Sus scrofa: one gene and its partners. The main gene of each other region encodes a partner of the protein of the gene in region 2 in a complex. Links are inferred from orthologs where the notes say so. Each region holds a gene or a part of one and is shown on either strand. Other genes may lie near its edges.

Evidence for each region.
Region 1: TIMM29 (region 2) and TIMM22 share a complex: the UniProt entries of both Homo sapiens proteins name them as parts of the TIM22 complex. The link is inferred for Sus scrofa from reciprocal best matches to the Homo sapiens genes TIMM29 and TIMM22.
Region 3: TIMM29 (region 2) and TIMM10B share a complex: the UniProt entries of both Homo sapiens proteins name them as parts of the TIM22 complex. The link is inferred for Sus scrofa from reciprocal best matches to the Homo sapiens genes TIMM29 and TIMM10B.
Region 4: the proteins of TIMM29 (region 2) and AGK are in contact, whole or in part, in a cryo-EM structure (PDB 7CGP), measured with the Homo sapiens proteins. The link is inferred for Sus scrofa from reciprocal best matches to the Homo sapiens genes TIMM29 and AGK. Residues at the interface, in NP_612367.1 of Homo sapiens: Tyr145, Gln146, Cys149, Arg150, Tyr151, Leu152, Gln153, Arg155; in NP_060708.1 of Homo sapiens: His33, Asn36, Arg39, Arg40, Cys43, Gln44, Gln47, Asn51, Lys82, Pro86, His89, Leu90.

Annotation. Positions count from the first base shown.
Region 1 is NC_010454.4:46,900,351-46,904,607, forward strand, and holds the start of TIMM22 (mitochondrial import inner membrane translocase subunit Tim22), read right to left. Parts: upstream 2,861-4,257; 5' UTR 2,604-2,860; coding exon 2,366-2,603; exon of another isoform or gene 2,356-2,365; intron 1-2,355. UniProt on the Homo sapiens protein: Essential core component of the TIM22 complex, a complex that mediates the import and insertion of multi-pass transmembrane proteins into the mitochondrial inner membrane. In the TIM22 complex, it constitutes the voltage-activated and signal-gated channel.
Region 2 is NC_010444.4:69,648,235-69,652,504, forward strand, and holds TIMM29 (mitochondrial import inner membrane translocase subunit Tim29), read left to right. Parts: upstream 1-1,435; 5' UTR 1,436-1,483; coding exon 1,484-1,577; intron 1,578-1,654; coding exon 1,655-2,343; 3' UTR 2,344-4,135; downstream 4,136-4,270. Other genes in the region: protein YIPF2, read right to left, coding at 334-414, 497-651, 1,031-1,061. UniProt on the Homo sapiens protein: Component of the TIM22 complex, a complex that mediates the import and insertion of multi-pass transmembrane proteins into the mitochondrial inner membrane.
Region 3 is NC_010451.4:3,247,865-3,251,361, forward strand, and holds TIMM10B (mitochondrial import inner membrane translocase subunit Tim10 B), read right to left. Parts: upstream 2,112-3,497; 5' UTR 2,005-2,111; coding exon 1,966-2,004; intron 1,765-1,965; coding exon 1,669-1,764; intron 1,473-1,668; coding exon 1,296-1,472; 3' UTR 610-1,295; downstream 1-609. Other genes in the region: ARFIP2 (arfaptin-2), read left to right, coding at 3,132-3,230, 3,486-3,497. UniProt on the Homo sapiens protein: Component of the TIM22 complex, a complex that mediates the import and insertion of multi-pass transmembrane proteins into the mitochondrial inner membrane.
Region 4 is NC_010460.4:8,263,183-8,267,390, forward strand, and holds the end of AGK (acylglycerol kinase, mitochondrial), read right to left. Parts: coding exon 4,198-4,208; intron 2,024-4,197; coding exon 1,886-2,023; 3' UTR 579-1,885; downstream 1-578. UniProt on the Homo sapiens protein: Lipid kinase that can phosphorylate both monoacylglycerol and diacylglycerol to form lysophosphatidic acid (LPA) and phosphatidic acid (PA), respectively. Does not phosphorylate sphingosine. Phosphorylates ceramide.

The DNA of each region.
Region 1 (4,257 bases), on a different chromosome or scaffold from region 2:
CAAACACACACAGAGACGAAGATTTCTTTGGCATGGTTTCTGGATTACTGCAGTGGGGTCACGCTCAAATAGCACCTTTTGGGTGGCTGCCAGCGAAAGGAACCATCCCACCCCCCACCCCCGCCTCAAAAACTCTCCCCTTGCCTGGTTTCCACATCACAAAATCCAGATCTTGTTGACAGCTTCTCGTCTGCTCTTCTTGGATTTCCTCCTCCTCCTTTCATTTGCTAACATTCCTCAAGATTTAGTGTCTTTCCCTCTTTCTCTTGCCACACTTTTCATGCAAACCACCCACCCTCAAGTTCAGGTAAAAACTTTGCAAATCGCCCCTTGACAACAGTGCATTCGTAATAGTCATTTGGCAAACACCACGTGCCAGTCACCCTGACACTTTACAGCCAGTCGTATTTATTCTTGACAATAATCCGGTGAGGTAGATCTTATTATCCTCTCCTTTCTGTAGCCGAAGAAGCTGAGGCTCCAGGAAGTTAAGTAACTTTCCTCAAGTCACAAAGCGAATGGCTACCCCTACGCTGCTGTGCACAGCTGACCTTCCGGAGCCTGCTGGGCATCTCCATGTGGATGCCCTCTCAGCACCTCGACGTCTGTAAACGCTCAAGGAAATCTCGGGCGCCGCCCCTCCAGACGTTCTTGTTTATGGCTCCTTCTTCCTAGTCACTCCTGCCCCAAAATGCAAGGGCATTTTTTCTTTTCATTTATTTATTTATTTTTGCTTTTTAGGGCAGCACCTGCAGCAGATGGAAGTTCCCAGGCTAGGGGTGGAATCAGAGCTACAGCCACTGGCCTACACCACAGCCACAGCCACACCAGATCTGAACCGCGTCTGTGACCTACACCACGGCTCACGGCAACGCCAGGCCCTTAACCCACTGAGCAAGGCCAGGGATCGAACCCATGTTCTCATGGATACCAATCGGGTTCGTGACTGCTGAGTCACATCGGGACTTTATGGCTTCCACCTTGGGGCACTACAAAGACTCATTCATCATTTTAACAGCTATGTAAGATTTATCAGGGTCAGGTATTGATGAAAAAAGACCCAGTCCATGGCTCAGGGAGCTTCAGTCTAGCAAATTCCCTCTCGGGTCTCCCTGTCTACAGACGTTCCCTGGCCACACTCCACCCTCAGTCATCATACTCACTACCACTGCTACCCTCTAAAAAAAATCATCTATTGCTGCCCTTAAAACTACAGGCAAAAAGCCCAAATCCCCCACTCAACCCCCGTTTTTGTTTTGTTTTGTTTTGTTTCTTTCTTGGGGGCTGCGTCTACAGCATGTGGAAGTTCCTGGGCCAGGGATCCAACCTGCACCAAAGCAGCCACCTGAGCTGCAGCAATGACAACGGCTGGGTTCCTGCTGTGCCACAAAGAACTCCTTTCACCCCCAGCATGAAATGACATCTCTCCGCCTCCTTGTCTACCCACACTCTCCATCCTTCAAGACACATCTCCAGTCTCACCTCCTCCAAGGCCTTCCCCAACCAAAAAAGATCTTTCCTCTTCCTACCGTACATCATATTTGCACTCTCGCTACATTCGTGTCTCTCTCTGCTTCTCTCTTCTTTTTTGGCTGCACCCGTGGCATGCAGAAATTCCTGGGCCAGGGCTCAAACCTGCACCACAGCAGTGACAACGCCAGATCCTTAATCTTCTGAGCCACCAGGGAATTATGACCTTCACTTCTTAATTGCCTTTCATTCTCAATTAGATTTCAACTCATCTGCAAATGTGGTCAGCCTCTTTGCATAGAGGAGAGACACCTACATTCTCAAATGCTCAAGAGGTTAAAAAAAAAAAAAAAAGTCCAGATTTCTTCCCACCTCCTGCCCCCATTCCCTGCTGTCTAGTCATAATGGCCTTTCTGTTTTTCTAATCTCGAGCCACTACAAGCCAGACCTTTGCAAGTGCTGTGTCCTGCCCTGCAGGGCCCTCCTCCAGGCTCCTTCTCAACATTTTTCTTTCTATGTATATTAAGAGGTTAGCTTCAGAAGAACAAGGCTCTTGTCTCTCCATCACCGGGCACGTGATAGCTACTCAGTGACAATCTGTTGAAAAGTGATTAATTAAAAGAGAATGAACAAAGAAATGTGTGAACGAATGAATGAGGTCAACCATCTTACTCCCCCAGGTCCTGATCTAGGGCCGGTTCTCTGATCCAATTTCCAGAGACGGAAGCCTAGAGGGTCTAAGGACGCACTGCTCAAGTTCACTGAACCAGGCGGGGGTGGGTCAAGGTCGAGGCCCACGGACTCCTTGCCTCTCAGGAGCGTGTTCTTCTTGGCAGGGCACCCTGCTGCCGCCCAAGCCCTCGGCCTCCCAAGGGCCCCCCTCACCTCGCCTCACCTCCCACGCAGGCCAGCGCCGCCTTGAAGGCGCAGCTTTCCATCGCCCTCTCGATCATCTTCTGCTCCTCACTCTTGGCGGGACTCGGGATCCCGCCCAGGGTCCCAGGCTCCAGGACCCGGGGCTGACGCTTGTCACCCACCAGGTGCTGCAGAAGAAGGCTGTACTGCAGAGGGGCTTCCGTGGAAGCCGCCGCCTCAGGCGCAGAGACCCCTGCACTGGGGGCCGTCGCCGCCATGACAGTAGCTGCCCAAGAAACCTGGCGTCCTTCTTCCCACAGGCGATTCCACAAGCTTCCCGTGGGCCCTTGCGCGCACAGCCACCGAGACGCAACAGCAGATTCGCCACACCGGGCGAGTCCAAAGAAGTCGCGAAAGCCTGTTCGTGCACACGCGGCAGAAGTGCTATCATGTTCTCTCAAAACCTTCTGTGAACACGGAATCAGGCTTGTGCAACATTCCCGAAGGCAATGATAAATAAGAGTCAGAGTCACCAGAAAGGTCTCTCTTCGTGGCTGAAGCGCGGTGCGTACTGGGATTTGTAGTTCTAATAGGTACACCCCCAGACAGTTCCCAGGAAGCCTTGCGCGGACACGCGCGTCTCTGCCTCTTCTGGAGCTCCTGACAGGCGGAAGGGAGGGAGGGTGCAGCGCGCAGGAGAGCCAGCAGGGGGCGCGCGAGCCTCATCTCTGCCCTGCGAGCCAACTGATTGCTTGCGGGGGTTGTGGGATGGCAGTGGGCTAGAGTGCTTGCTAAATTGACGTAGCATAAATGTATGAAATAAATGTTTTATTCAGCAATTAAGCCATTGAGGGGAGAGAGAAGGGGCCAAAAATGAGTGAACAAATGAGTGAAGCTAGGCAAGCTAAGAAAAATCCGGGACAGTGGTAGGAAGTGGAGTGAGGCTGCTACCCCAACCACGAGTCAGTGGAATGAGCGGTGTGGGACTAGCGTTGCCATGCAAAGCCAAATTTACATTATGCTGATTCAGTTAAACTGCTTACGAACTTGCAGACTCAGAACCTGAAGGTTAACTGTGAGATAGCACCGTATATGAATCCAGAAGAACTTTTGCAGTAGTGTCGATGGCACTAAAATAGATCCCTAAATATTGTATTGATCCAGACTAGGAGTGTTTGGGTGTATCAGCTAAGAGAGCTGTAAATGGAAGCAGAAGGTGGTGAGCAGTAGCCAGTCTACTGAGACACCTCTTTGGTCGCCAGAGTTCTCTGTGCCTCTAAGCAGGGCATGTGGTTCACTTGCTTCTGCTCCCACCAGACCGCTGAACAAGCTCGCCCTGAGGTCTCCAGTGCTTCCCAGTTGTTGAGACTAATTCAGATGCCTTTCACTTGACTCCTCAGCTGTATGTGATACTGTCGATTCCTCCCTGCTTCGGAGTTTCTTCGCAGTTTCGGTGGAGCCTCTGTCCTGGTTTTGCTAGAATCTCTTCAGTTCCTCAGACTTTGCAGGCACCTCTGCCTGATCCTTTCCTGTTGGATGCTCAGGGCCTCATCCTTTATCCTCTTCTCATGCACCTTGCTCTCTCTGAAGCTGTTCACCCACTCATGGCTTCTACCACCACCTCTAACAGAGCAATGGCTCCCAGATTTTTATCTCCAGCTTCAATCCTTCTCAGCAGCATGAAAACCAGTCATTTCCTATAGGCACCTCAAACTCAACACACCCTGCCACCCCCCCTTTCCTTTCAGATGAATGAGGGGCCCAGGACTCTGATTCATGCCTTAAGAGCCAAAGTTGGATCTGAGAGAAGTTGGAACAGCCCCATAGGCAGGTCTCAGGCAAGGGCCTTGGGAACAAGGAGCGATCTAAATGGTTAACCCGTGCGGCTGGTTAGAGAGCAATCATCAATCCCCAAATGAAGCGTCAGCATCG
Region 2 (4,270 bases):
CTCTACCTATGCTGTTTCCTGGGCCTGGAACGTACTTAAGCTTCCTTCCACTCTGCCTGGCTAAATCTACCTTCTCCTTTAAGTGTCAGCAAATTCCTCATCTCTCCCAAGGGGTCCTTCCCTAACCCACCATATCACGTGTGTTCCCTGTCACACATCAAAATCCTTGCAGTCCACACAGTTACATCTACCAGCCTGGGTAGGACTCTTGTTCTCTCATATGAGTATTGCTAGCACTTGCTCAGGGCCTGGTGCGCAGGAAATGCTCAGTGACTAGTGGCTGAACCCCAAGTGTGACTCTGAGCCCCATTCCACCAACTCCCCGGGTCTGACCTGTGAAGTGTCCACGTCAAAGAATGTCTGATAGTAGCCAAAGGTCCAGAAACCAGGCTGCTGCTTCTCCTCCTGTAGGAGCTGAACAGTGTGGGCTTTCAGTGAGGGGTGAAGGGCAGCAGGGACTAGACAAAGGCAGGGCACAGAGACTTAGGGGACCCACCGCTGCCTTGTCACTCTCCTCTGCATCATCCTCAGTTCCATAGCTGCCCCCTGAGCCCATGGCCACAGCCACATGCCCCTGGGGGGTCAACTGATCACTTCTGGTGGTGGTCGCTTCTGGGGTCTGGGCCAGCAAATTAGTGGCTTCCTCGAACTCTGCTGAGAAGGAATATGGGACACAGGTGTATTTGAAGGGGTCAAGACAATTTGGTTCTGCCCACTGCTCATCTGGGGGCCAAGACTAACTGTGACCACCTCGGTGTTCCCCCCAACCCAGGGTACAGCTTCCTCAATTTTGGGGAGTGGGAAAGAGGTGTGTCCCCTTCCCCTCACTCCTAACACTGGACCGCAATTGAGGGCTGGTATGGGGTAGAGGCTCAGGTTTGAGGTCTGAGTTTAGGGCTGGAGCGAGGTTCCTGCCTGGGTCAGGTTTCACAGCTGACTGGGATTCCGGTTAGATGTGAGCTGGGACCTGGATGGGAGGTTCTGGCCAGTGGAGGGAGTAGGAGTGGGGTCAGACCGCGGCGGCACTCACCGTGGAAGGCCAGCTCGTCCGCCGCTGCCATGATCACTCAGGGGCGTCGCCGCATCCCGCTCTGAGGAGAGAGGCCAATCAGGCCCACCCCAACCCCACTCAGCGCCACTCCTTGAAGCCAACCCTCAGCCCCGAGCCCCGTTTGGCGGCTGACCGTACCGCAGGGGCGTGAACACAGCACTCCCGCCCCCCAGGTGCACCCCCGCCCACCTCACCTGAGGCCGCCTCAACTGGCGTGGCCGGTACTCTCTGCGCCTGCGCGACCCGCCTACCAGCCGGGGCAACCCCAGTCGGACCCGACAGCAACATCCGGCGTCGGTCCGTTTTCTATCGTCTTCCGATGGGAAACTACCTCCGGAAATGTTGACGCTTGCGCAGAAGATATTCACCGGATCTTTTTGTTTCGCATACCAGGCGTTTCTTTTCGGAGTAGGGACGCCCAGCCGGAAGAGGATGGCGGCCGCTGCACTGAAGAGGTTGTGGTCCCGAAGCCGTGGGGAGGCGGGGGACGCTGCGGCTGCAAAGCCTGGCGTGTGGGCGCGGTTGGGTGAGTAGAGGCGCTAGGCGGTGGGGGTGGGGGGCCGCAGCGGCCCGACCGCCCTCATCGCGCTTCTCTCCTCTCAGGAGCTTGGGCCCGCGCGCTGCTCCAGGACTACGCAGAGGCCTGCAGAGACGCGGCGGCGGCAGCGCGAGCCCGGCCCGGGCGTGCAGCCGTGTACGTGGGGCTGCTGGGCGGCGCGGCGGCCTGCTGCGCCCTGGCGCCGAGTGAGGCAGCCTTTGAGGAGGCGCTGCTGGATGCGTCGGGGACGCTCCTGCTGTTGGCGCCGGCCACACGCAACCGCGATTCTGAAGCATTTGTGCAGCGGCTGCTCTGGCTGCGGGGTCGCGGCCGCCTGCGCCACGTGAGCCTGGGCCTCTGCTCGCTTGTGTACGAGGCGCCGTTCGACGCCCAGGTCAGCCTCTACCAGGCCCGCTGCCGCTACCTGCAGCCCCGCTGGGCGGACTTCCCGGACCGGATCTTGGATGTGGGCTTCGTGGGCCGCTGGTGGGTGCTGGGGGCCCGGATGCGCGACTGCGACATCAACCACGACGAGTTCCTGCACCTGCCGGCACATCTACGCGTCGTGGAGCCCCACCAGCTGCACTCGGAAGCCAACGAGCGGCTCTTCGATGAGAAGTACAAGCCTGTAGTGCTCACCGACGATCAGGTGGATCAGGCGCTGTGGGAGGAGCAGGTCCTGCAGAAGGAGAAGAAAGACCAGCTCGCCCTGAGCCAAGCCGATCCCCTGGCGCCCTCGGAAGTCGCTAGATGAAACCCATTGCGGCCTGGGTCCTGACCGGATCCTGAGCCCAAGCAGACTGCCGATCAAGGATTGTGCCGTTGGTGAGAATCAGCCTCAGACGTAGAGCGATGGAAATAAATTGTGTGCAGTGATCTCTCCGTGGGTTTTCACAAAATTGAGGGCCTCCCTCTCACCTGTTCCTTGTGAGTTGACGCTAATTCAGAGCCTCCTTGGTCTTGGAGTTGGGAAGAGCAGAAGGACATGCCTTGTAACATTTATCACTGCCAGAGTTAGTGAGGAGCCTTAGATGGAAATAAGCCTTTGCACTGGGCTTAAAGATTCCTCCGACTGAGGTATCACAGTTGTTAGGTGACTCCCAAGCTCTCCTAAGAACTTTTAGATTTTCTTTTTTCTTTTTTTTGTTCTTTTAGGTCCGCACCTACGGCATATGGAGGTTGCCAGGCTAGGGGTCTAATCAGAGCTGTAGCCCCTGGCCTACACCATAGCCACAACAACGTGGGATCCAAGCCGCATCTGCGACCTACACCACAGCTCAGGGCAACATTGGATCCTTAACCCACTGAGAGAGGCCAGGGATGGAACCTGCAATCTCATGGTTCCTAGTCCGATTTTTTCACAATGATGGGAACTCCTAGATTTTCATTTTAAAATTTGAACTGAAATGTTTATCCTGTTTCCATGACTAAAATGTTTTTTTAAATTAATTTTTAAAAAATTTATAATTTCAGGAGTTCCCGTCGTGATGCAGTGGTTAACGAATCCGACTAGGAACCATGAGGTTGCGGGTTCGGTCCCTGCCCTTGCTCAGTGCGTTAACGATCCGGCGTTGCCGTGAGCTGTGGTGTAGGTTGCAGACGCGGCTGGGATCCCGCGTTGCTGTGGCTCTGGCGTAGGCCGGTGGCTACAGCTCCAATTAGACCCCTAGCCTGGGAACCTCCATATGCCACAGGGGCAGCCCAAGAAATAGCAAAAAGACAAAAAAAATTTTTATAGTTTCAGAGGAGACTGGAAAAATAGACATCCTGTGTATCTTCACCCAGCTTCCCCCCCCTCCCCCCCCCCCCCCGTCATAACTTATGTAATCATTACCAACCCAAGAAATTAACATTGGTATGATTATTTGGATTTTACGACAAAACTTTTTGCAAAAACAACCTCCCCTGACCCTATTTTTTTAGGGCTGCACCCACAGCAAATGGAAGTTTCAGAGTCTAGGGGTCACCTCAGCCACAGCAATGCAGGATCCAGTCAGCATCTGTGACCTATACTGCAACTTACGGCAACGCCGGATCCTTTAACCCACTGAGTGAGGCCAGGGATCGAACCCTCATTGTCCTGGATAATAGTTAGATTCTTAACCCACTGAGCCACAACAGAAACTCTAAAAACAACCTGTTTTTGGAAAGTTCCCATGTGGCACAGTGGATCTGGCATTGCCATAGCTGTGGCACATACTTTGGTGTGGATTTGATCCCTGGCTGGGGAACTTCCAGATTCCGCGGGTGTGGCCAAAAAGAACTCTCAAAACCAACCTGTTTTTACCATGTGTGTACTGATACTGATGTTAAATGACAAGGAGGGACAAAGCATTTTCTGATCTGGAAATCAACATGGAATCCTAGTTTCTGGTTATGTTTTACTTCAATAACCCTGAAAACACAGAATTCTATAGAAAGGACATGTTGGTATTCAGAGCTGGGTTATGATAATCATACTTTTAAAACTAAAATACTATAGGAATGAGACTACCTCTGTCACCTATGTGACCTATAGCTAGTTAATAAACCAAGACATGAAATAACTTTGTTGTGGCATTGTGTTTATCTTTTTTTCCCCAGTTTTTAAAGTTTTATTGAAGTATAGTTGATTACAATGTGATAATTTTTGCTGTACAACAAAATGATTCAGTTATACATATGCACACATCCATTCTTTT
Region 3 (3,497 bases), on a different chromosome or scaffold from region 2:
GGGGAATAGCTGAGGGTGAGGTGGGGGGTTAGGGAGAGCAGTGAAGGTGTAAACAGCTGCCATGGTGATGAGAAGAGCAAACAGACCAGGAACCCTCCAAATGCTATTTGTTGGTAGAGCTTGGTTGCAGCTGGGACTGGGAATATTTAGTGGCATTCACTACACAGCTGTGTTTTCCTCTAGCTGTGTGAATGGAGGACCAGAAAAGTTAAAACAGCTGGACTGGGAGTTCCCTGGTGGCCGAGCAGTTAAGAACTCGGCATTGTCACTGCTGTGGCTTCAGTTTGATCCCTGGCCTGGGAACTTCTGCATGCCATGGCATGGCCAAAAAATAAATAATAATAAGTAAAACAGGTGGAATGATACAAAAAGGACACAAGGGCAGCAAAAAAATTCAGGGATGGAGTGACATGCCACTGAGACTGCTGAATACAGAGGTAAACTCCACAAGGGAGGCAATAATGAGGAAAGAATGGAGAGGCTGGAATTAGAAACCATGGGATAGGCACAGCTGGGACAATGCAGAGTAGGGGGCAGGGCTGGAATTAGGAGATCACAGGCGAGCAGTGAGACAAGAGCGTAACATCCAAAAGCTTTTCCTTTCTTCTGTTTTTTTTTTTTTTTTTTTTTTTTTTTTGTCCCCTTAGCCACCACCCTCTACTTCTGTGGTTTTCTCTCCCTTGAGTCTGACTATAGTGCAGAACATGGCTCCCCAAGTTTTCCCCTGACTGCTCCTGAAGACGAGCACACAGACCTCCTCGGTTTAAAGGATTTACTGCTCAATTTCTGGGAGTATTAAGAAAGTAACAACTTGGGGGAGTGGTTAACGTTCTAGAACACCCAGAAGTCCTATAGGTTTCATCTGTCTGGGGCTACTGACTTTCGAAGAGGTAGTGCCTAAAAGCCCTGTGGTTTCTTAATCCATGGTCCTTAATATCTCTAAGCGAACCATTTAAGTCAGACAGATTTAAGGACAGAGTTCCCATTTTCTCTGCCGTCTGGGCACGAACCAGCGTCTTGTTGCCAATTTTAAAGCTGTACCCACAGACCTTCCTTTAACCAGGTGCCTGGGAATGCTGAGGTTTTCCTTCCACACACAGAAGGCAACTTCTCCCTGCCCAGAATATCAACCGCACAGATTACAGCAGGTTTATTAGCTCCAGGAAAAGGAGCAACAGTACCTAGCTCTCAGGCAACTCCTCATTCTCTACATACAGGCTCCATCTTGCCCAAGGTCCACTGCTCCTTCAACGTGAGGGTCCATCCAGTGCCTCCCTTCTCAGCGTTGAGGACAGCTAGCTGCCAGATGGCGAGGCTTCTGGCTGTTCAGCAGCAACACCTGGCACAGCTGAGGCAGCCTCGTAGTCAGCGATGCGGCGCTGTACCAGGGCAGGCATGAGCTGCACGTAAGCGGCCATGAGGCGGTGGTTGGAATGGATCAGCTTCCCGGCACAGCTGTGCAGACAGGCCTCCTGGAAGGAAGACAGGGTGGAAGTAGAAGCCAAAGGTGTCCAGTCAGGTCCGTTTCCCTCCTTCCCATCCCCAGCCTCAGGGCGGAGGTCGTGGGAAGCCAGGGCCGGACGTAGGGGAATTGACGGGAGAGGGAAGCAGTGCACGGTTAGCTCTGAGGCTCGAGGAGCACTTCCCTACTCAGTTCCCCCACCTAACCTCCTCGGCATCCAGAGCTCGGTGATGCAGGCTGGGCACGCAGCGCTGGAAGCAGAGTTCCGTCATCCGATTGTAGACCAACAGGAAGTCCCGCAACTGGGGAGGAAGGGGGACAAGGAACTCAGCGAAGAGGGGGCCACGTCTCAACTCAAGGCCGCGCTGCCGGCGCTTTCCCAGGACCGTGTACCACGGCCCGTGGTTCCCAGCCCTTGGATGCCTGGCTCTCTGGGGTTTCCGCCATGCGAACAGGGATGCTAGCTGGATGCAGGGCCCTTAAGCGACTTAGCTCCCACTCACGTTTCTCAGCTGCTGCTGCTGCTGCTGTTGCTGTTCCATCACGCCGCCGGCGCACAACCTACGTCACTTCCGTTACAGCTTCTAGGGAACGCCCCGGAAGTGACCTCAATGGCTCCCCAGGGGCAGAGGGGTTGGCTCAAGGAGCGCCCGCCCACCTCCCCGCGACGTCACTTCCGCCCTCATAATCGGCTACGTGGCCGGCTTCTTCTGCCCGGGAGAGGACGTCACTTCCGCCGAGTCCCTGACCTGCTGCTAGGATCGCGACGGGAACTGGATCCCGAGATCCCCGCGCGGCCCGGGCCTGGCGCCCTGAGGGGAAGAGCGGCCCGGCCCGAGGTGAGAGGGACGTGCATGGGCGAGGGCAAGGTGAACGCACGAACCTGACCTGAGGGCAAGATGCTTCTGAGCCCTGGGAAAGGATGAGGACACACCTGACGCCCAGGTGTATGGGGGGAGGGCGGAGACTCACACACCTGGGGAGACCTAACTGACTTTGGAAGGGATCACCTCCCTATGTCCTGGGGCAAAGGGACTTTTCCCCGGGGTCGGGAACTTACACCAACTGATTCAACTAAGGCCTGGGGCGGGGGTGGGGGCAGGAAGAGGGGGTGCATGGGATGGAGGAGGGGGAGACCACCTGCAGGAAAGAGGAGGAGACATTAGAGGAGTGTGAAAGGCCAAACAATGGCGAACATACCTGAACGGGGATAGGCACCTGAGCGCTGGGAAAGGGATTGTCTCCTGATGAGGAGGAATACCTGCGTGGGGATAAGCTGCTTGAGAGCACAGGCTTTCTCTCCATTGCCTCAAATAGTGCGTGGCATGTAGTAGGCACTCATTAAATGTCTGTGGAAGGACTGAATGCATGAATGATCCCTGGACTGCTGGGGGGGTGGGGGTGGGGGGGTCATGAGAACATGACCTCTGGTCAGGCACACCTGAGGCCTGGGTGCCTGTGTGTAAAACTTTGCACCTTGGAAGGGAGAAAGACAAAGCCCCGAGGGAAGAGTGGTGGGCAGACCCCACCACACTGAAGCCCCGGGACGGCCTCTGCAAGGGCAGGGGAGACCTTCCTCTTCGGAGAACTGGCCCGTTTCCAGAACTGTCTGTGTTGGGCTTTGCAGGGCGCTGGGGTGGAGACTTTGACTCCAGTCCCTTCGCTCGCCATGACGGACGGGATCCTAGGGAAGGCAGCCACAATGGAGATCCCCATCCACGGGAATGGTGACGCGGGGCAGCTTCCTGAGGATGATGGGCTGGAGCAGGTGCTTCTGTTTGATTCTTCACATTGTTTCAGTTGAGGAATCCCAACTCTTAAACCCTGAGCTCTCTCCTTCTTCCAGTAGCCTTCCCCCAACTCACCTGATTTCCTTCAGTCTTTTTACCAATCTTTGTTCTGATTCTGTGCAGACTTCCCTTGTGTGCTCTCTCTATGATGCTTCAATCCAAGCTTGTTTTCACCCCCAAAATGCTTCAGCTGCCCATATGTTCCTGAAGCCCCCCTCTTCTCTGGCCTATAGGACCTCCAGCAG
Region 4 (4,208 bases), on a different chromosome or scaffold from region 2:
CGAGGCCAGGGATCAACCTGCATCCTCGTGGATACTAGTGGCTCAGTGGTAACGAGCCTGACAACAGGAACTCCTGGACCTGCCTCCTTTTTGCTTTGTTTTGTTATTTGTTTTGCAAAAGCACAGCTTTTAACTCCACTCTGAAGAACACAGAGGCAAACAGGTAAGCATTATGTTATGGGCTTTTCATAGCTGCCTTAGACCCCTTCAAGCATTGGTCCTCACTCTCCGAAGGGTTCGTGGGTGCGGGTGCGTGTGTGGTCCTAAAACTGACCTGCCTGAGCATGAGCCTCCTGCCCGTTCTCCCACCCCTCTTCCCCTTTGTGCAATTTTCCTTCCTCCGCACAAAGAGAAAGCCTTACGTCTCACCCCCCTTACCGTGGTGTGCTTCCCTCTCGAGTAGAAGAACCTCGGGGCACCAATTACAATGCCCAGCTGACAAGTCCCTAGGGAAGCAGACGGCTTCTAGTTCTCCACTTTCAACGAACTAACGGAGGGGTCGAATCCAGCTGTGAAGTTGCTACATCACTGTGATTTTTCGAGGCGACTCAAACAATTCAAAGAACTGCATGGCAATGTTAGAACAGAATTTTAAACATCTATAATGTTGAGCCTTGTCTCAGCTGTAAGTAACATGTGCTTTTGGCTAAATGAACTCATGAGGATAAAGAGCATTCTAATGTTAATTCTTAATTATTAAAAATTTATAATCAGTTGTATTTCAATAATTGATAACATTTATTCTGTACTGAGTTAACACTTGAACTAAAAAAAGTCATTTCAATTTATAGCTTTTGTTGGCAAGAAAATAGGTTGAGTGAAAAAATTTTCCAGCATAAAAACATGATAGCATACTTTGCTGAAAGCGGTAGGAAATACGCATATGAGGAAAATGGATATTTCCAACTACTAAACAATTTATTTTTGTAAATGGATGATGAATGTCAAATTGCTATGTATTTCAATTATACTGAATATGTTTAAAAGAGTGATGTAACAGTTTTATTTTAAAATATCAATATTTACATGACACCAGAAAGTATATACTTTGGCAACTCAAACTTCCCATGAGAAATTGGGGATGTTAACGTGGGAGGGGCTACAAGGTTTTCCAAAACACTCTGAGGAAGCAGAGGAGCAGGAGACCTGTGGACCACTGCTTGGCAGGACTGTGTGTCCCTTTCGGCCTCAGGACTTCCTGAACCAGAACCACCCGGGGAGGGTGGCAGCCTTTTTAAAAAGGCAGATTCCGGGGCTCCATCCTCAGATTGAGTGACTAGGTTTGGGGTGGTCCCCAATTGAGTAAATCTTCGACAAGTGCCCCAGGTGGTTCTCATGCAAACCAACACTTCAGAAGCACGACTTTAGGGGGGGGAAACCCTAATATTTTACAGTATCAGCCATGGCTGAAGACGGACACCCCACATATGTTTCTTAGACCGAGGAGAGAACTGGAACCCGCTAAATGAGAACCGGAGCTCATGGAGCAGCAGCACCCATGGAGGAGCCTGGAAACAGGACAAGGCAGCGGCGGGAAGGCGGGCCCTTCCCGGGACGGCCACAGACAGGAGAGGACACAGCCTCGGAGCCTGCCGTCCGCGGTGGGGAGAGAACAAGGTCCGGCCCTTTTCCATCCACGGAGGGTGGGGATGTCTCGGCGCCCGCCTGACGGGGGGCACTACGCAGGAGGGACCAGGGGGCACCAGTCAAAGCCCGCGCGGCCGGGACGCTGGCTGGGAAGCTGCAACGCACAGAGAGAGGAGGGCAGGGGGTACTTGCCGCAGACGGGCCCTTGGGATCCTCTGACAAGGCGGCGGGGACGGGGATTCGGAGGCTCTGCTCCCCTTTGGTCCCAGGGTGGCCTAAAGGGCAGTTGCCCATCTGCTCACTCAGCCCAGCTCTGCAGCATCTCTGCCCTCCTCCGCGGGTCACAGAAGAACCGCAGCTTCCTGGGGAGCAGCTTCACCTCCACGGGCATCGCTTCGTACTCCTCACTGTCGATGCTGAAGAAGCCCCCTGTTCCCTGGGGAGAAGAGACTGTTGAGGACCTGCCCGTGTCGGCGGGAACCCCGTCACCACTACAGCAGGATACTGTGGAAAGCGTCAGACTCGGGGGCTTCAGCAAAATGGGCTTTTAAAGGAATATTCAGTGCCTGTGTCGACACCATGCTGGTTCTGGAAACAGCCCAATGACACTGCTCATGAAAAAGGTTTCACCAGCCTCTACCTCCTCCCAGAGGATTTTGGGACTTGCGACACTTAAATAAGTCCTGTCACACTTCTAAGAAATTCCATAGAACATACATGTATGTCCTTCTCAGCCCTAATCTTTCTCAAATGAAAAGCAAGGAAGCCATGCTATCCAATTGATTATGTTCATAGTTCTTCTTTAGGACTTGCTTAGCTTTATACCTAAGGTATAACAACATTAATATTAGATGGTAAACATAAATTGTACCAGTATTTTCCTATGTCATCCTCCCAAGGCTACAGAAATAAGAGCAAAAGTAAACAAATGGGACATAATCAAATGCACAGCTTTGCACAGCAAAGAAAACCATAAATGAAAAGACACCCTACGGACTGGAAGAAAATATTTGCAAATGATGTGACAAGGGCTTAATTTCCAAAATGTTCAAACAGCTCATATAACTCAATAACAAAAAAACAATCAAAAAGTGGGTAGAAGACCTAAATAGACATTTCTTCAAAGAAGACATAGAGATGGCCAATAGGCACATGAAAAGATGCTCAACATTGCTAATTATCAGCGAAATGCAAATCAAAACTACAATGAGGTACCACCTCACACCAGTCAGAATGGCCATCATCAAAAAGTCTACAAATAATAAATACTGGAGAGGGTATGGAGAAAAGGGAACCCTCCTACACTGTTGATGGGAATATAAATTGGTGTTGCCACTATGGAAAACAGCATGGAGTTTCCTCAACTAAAAATAAGGGTTACCATATGATCCAGCAATCACACTACTGGGCACATATATATGGACAAAACTATAATCTAAAAAGATGTGCACCCCAGTGTTCATGGCAATGCTGTTTACAATAGGAAAGACATGGAATCAACCCTAATGTCCACCAACAGATAAATGGATGAAGTTAACGTGGTACAAATGTACAATGGAATACTACTCAGCCATAAAAACGAATGAAATATCATTTGCAGCAACCTGGATGGAACTAAAGATTTTCCTACTAAGTGAAATAAGAAAGACAAATACCATATGCTATCACTTATATGTAGAATCTAAAATGTAACACAATCATGGTATCTACATAACAGAAGCAGATTCACAGACAGAAAAAAGACTTGTTGCTGAAAGGGATGGGGTGGGGGGAGGGATGGACTGGGTGTTTGGGATTAGCAGATGCAAACTACTATAAATTGAATAAACCTCAAGGTCCTTCTGTATAGCATAGGGAATTATATTTAATATCCCATGATAAACTGTAATAGAAAAGAATATGAAAAAGAATATATAATACATATATATACATATACATGTATAACTGAATCACTGCTGTACAGCAGAAATGAAAACACTGTAAATCAATTATACTTCAATAAAATCAATTTTTAAAATATAAGAGTCTGTGAAACCCTCTGTAATTCGTGCATTTAATTCAACATTTGCTGTGTTGAAACTATGGTGCCACCCACTGTGGGGACACCTTCTGTTTTACCCATGATCCTTGTTGAATACCGTGGCAGAAAAGGTACAAGTCTTCAGAGGCCACCTGTAGTAACTTTTTCTCCACTTACGGGTTACTAAGTTTGGCCTTTCACAGTACAGAAAAATTTAATGCCATCCTGAAAACTGCTTCCAGATCCTTTATGAAAAATATGAAGCTAGACCCCACTATTAACATGGCCTAACTGGAGCGTTCTCTGTGTTGTTGCAGTAACCACTTGCAGAATTGACATTCAGACAGTCAACATTCGGGAGACCTAAGGCTCACTTCACAGGCCCTTGGCTGGACGACACTGAGGTCTTCAGGAGCCCGGCTCTAAATCTAAGGGAGTCTCCCTTAATGTAAACCAGAGCCTGGCCCATCACTTGGCACGTGCAAGGCACCTCACAAAGGGTGCGTCACTGGAGAGGAAGGATGGGGAGAAGCAGAAAGGCAGACAGACGGGGAAAGCAGCACAAGCCGTGGGACGGCTGACCCTCTCACCTCAGGAAGGA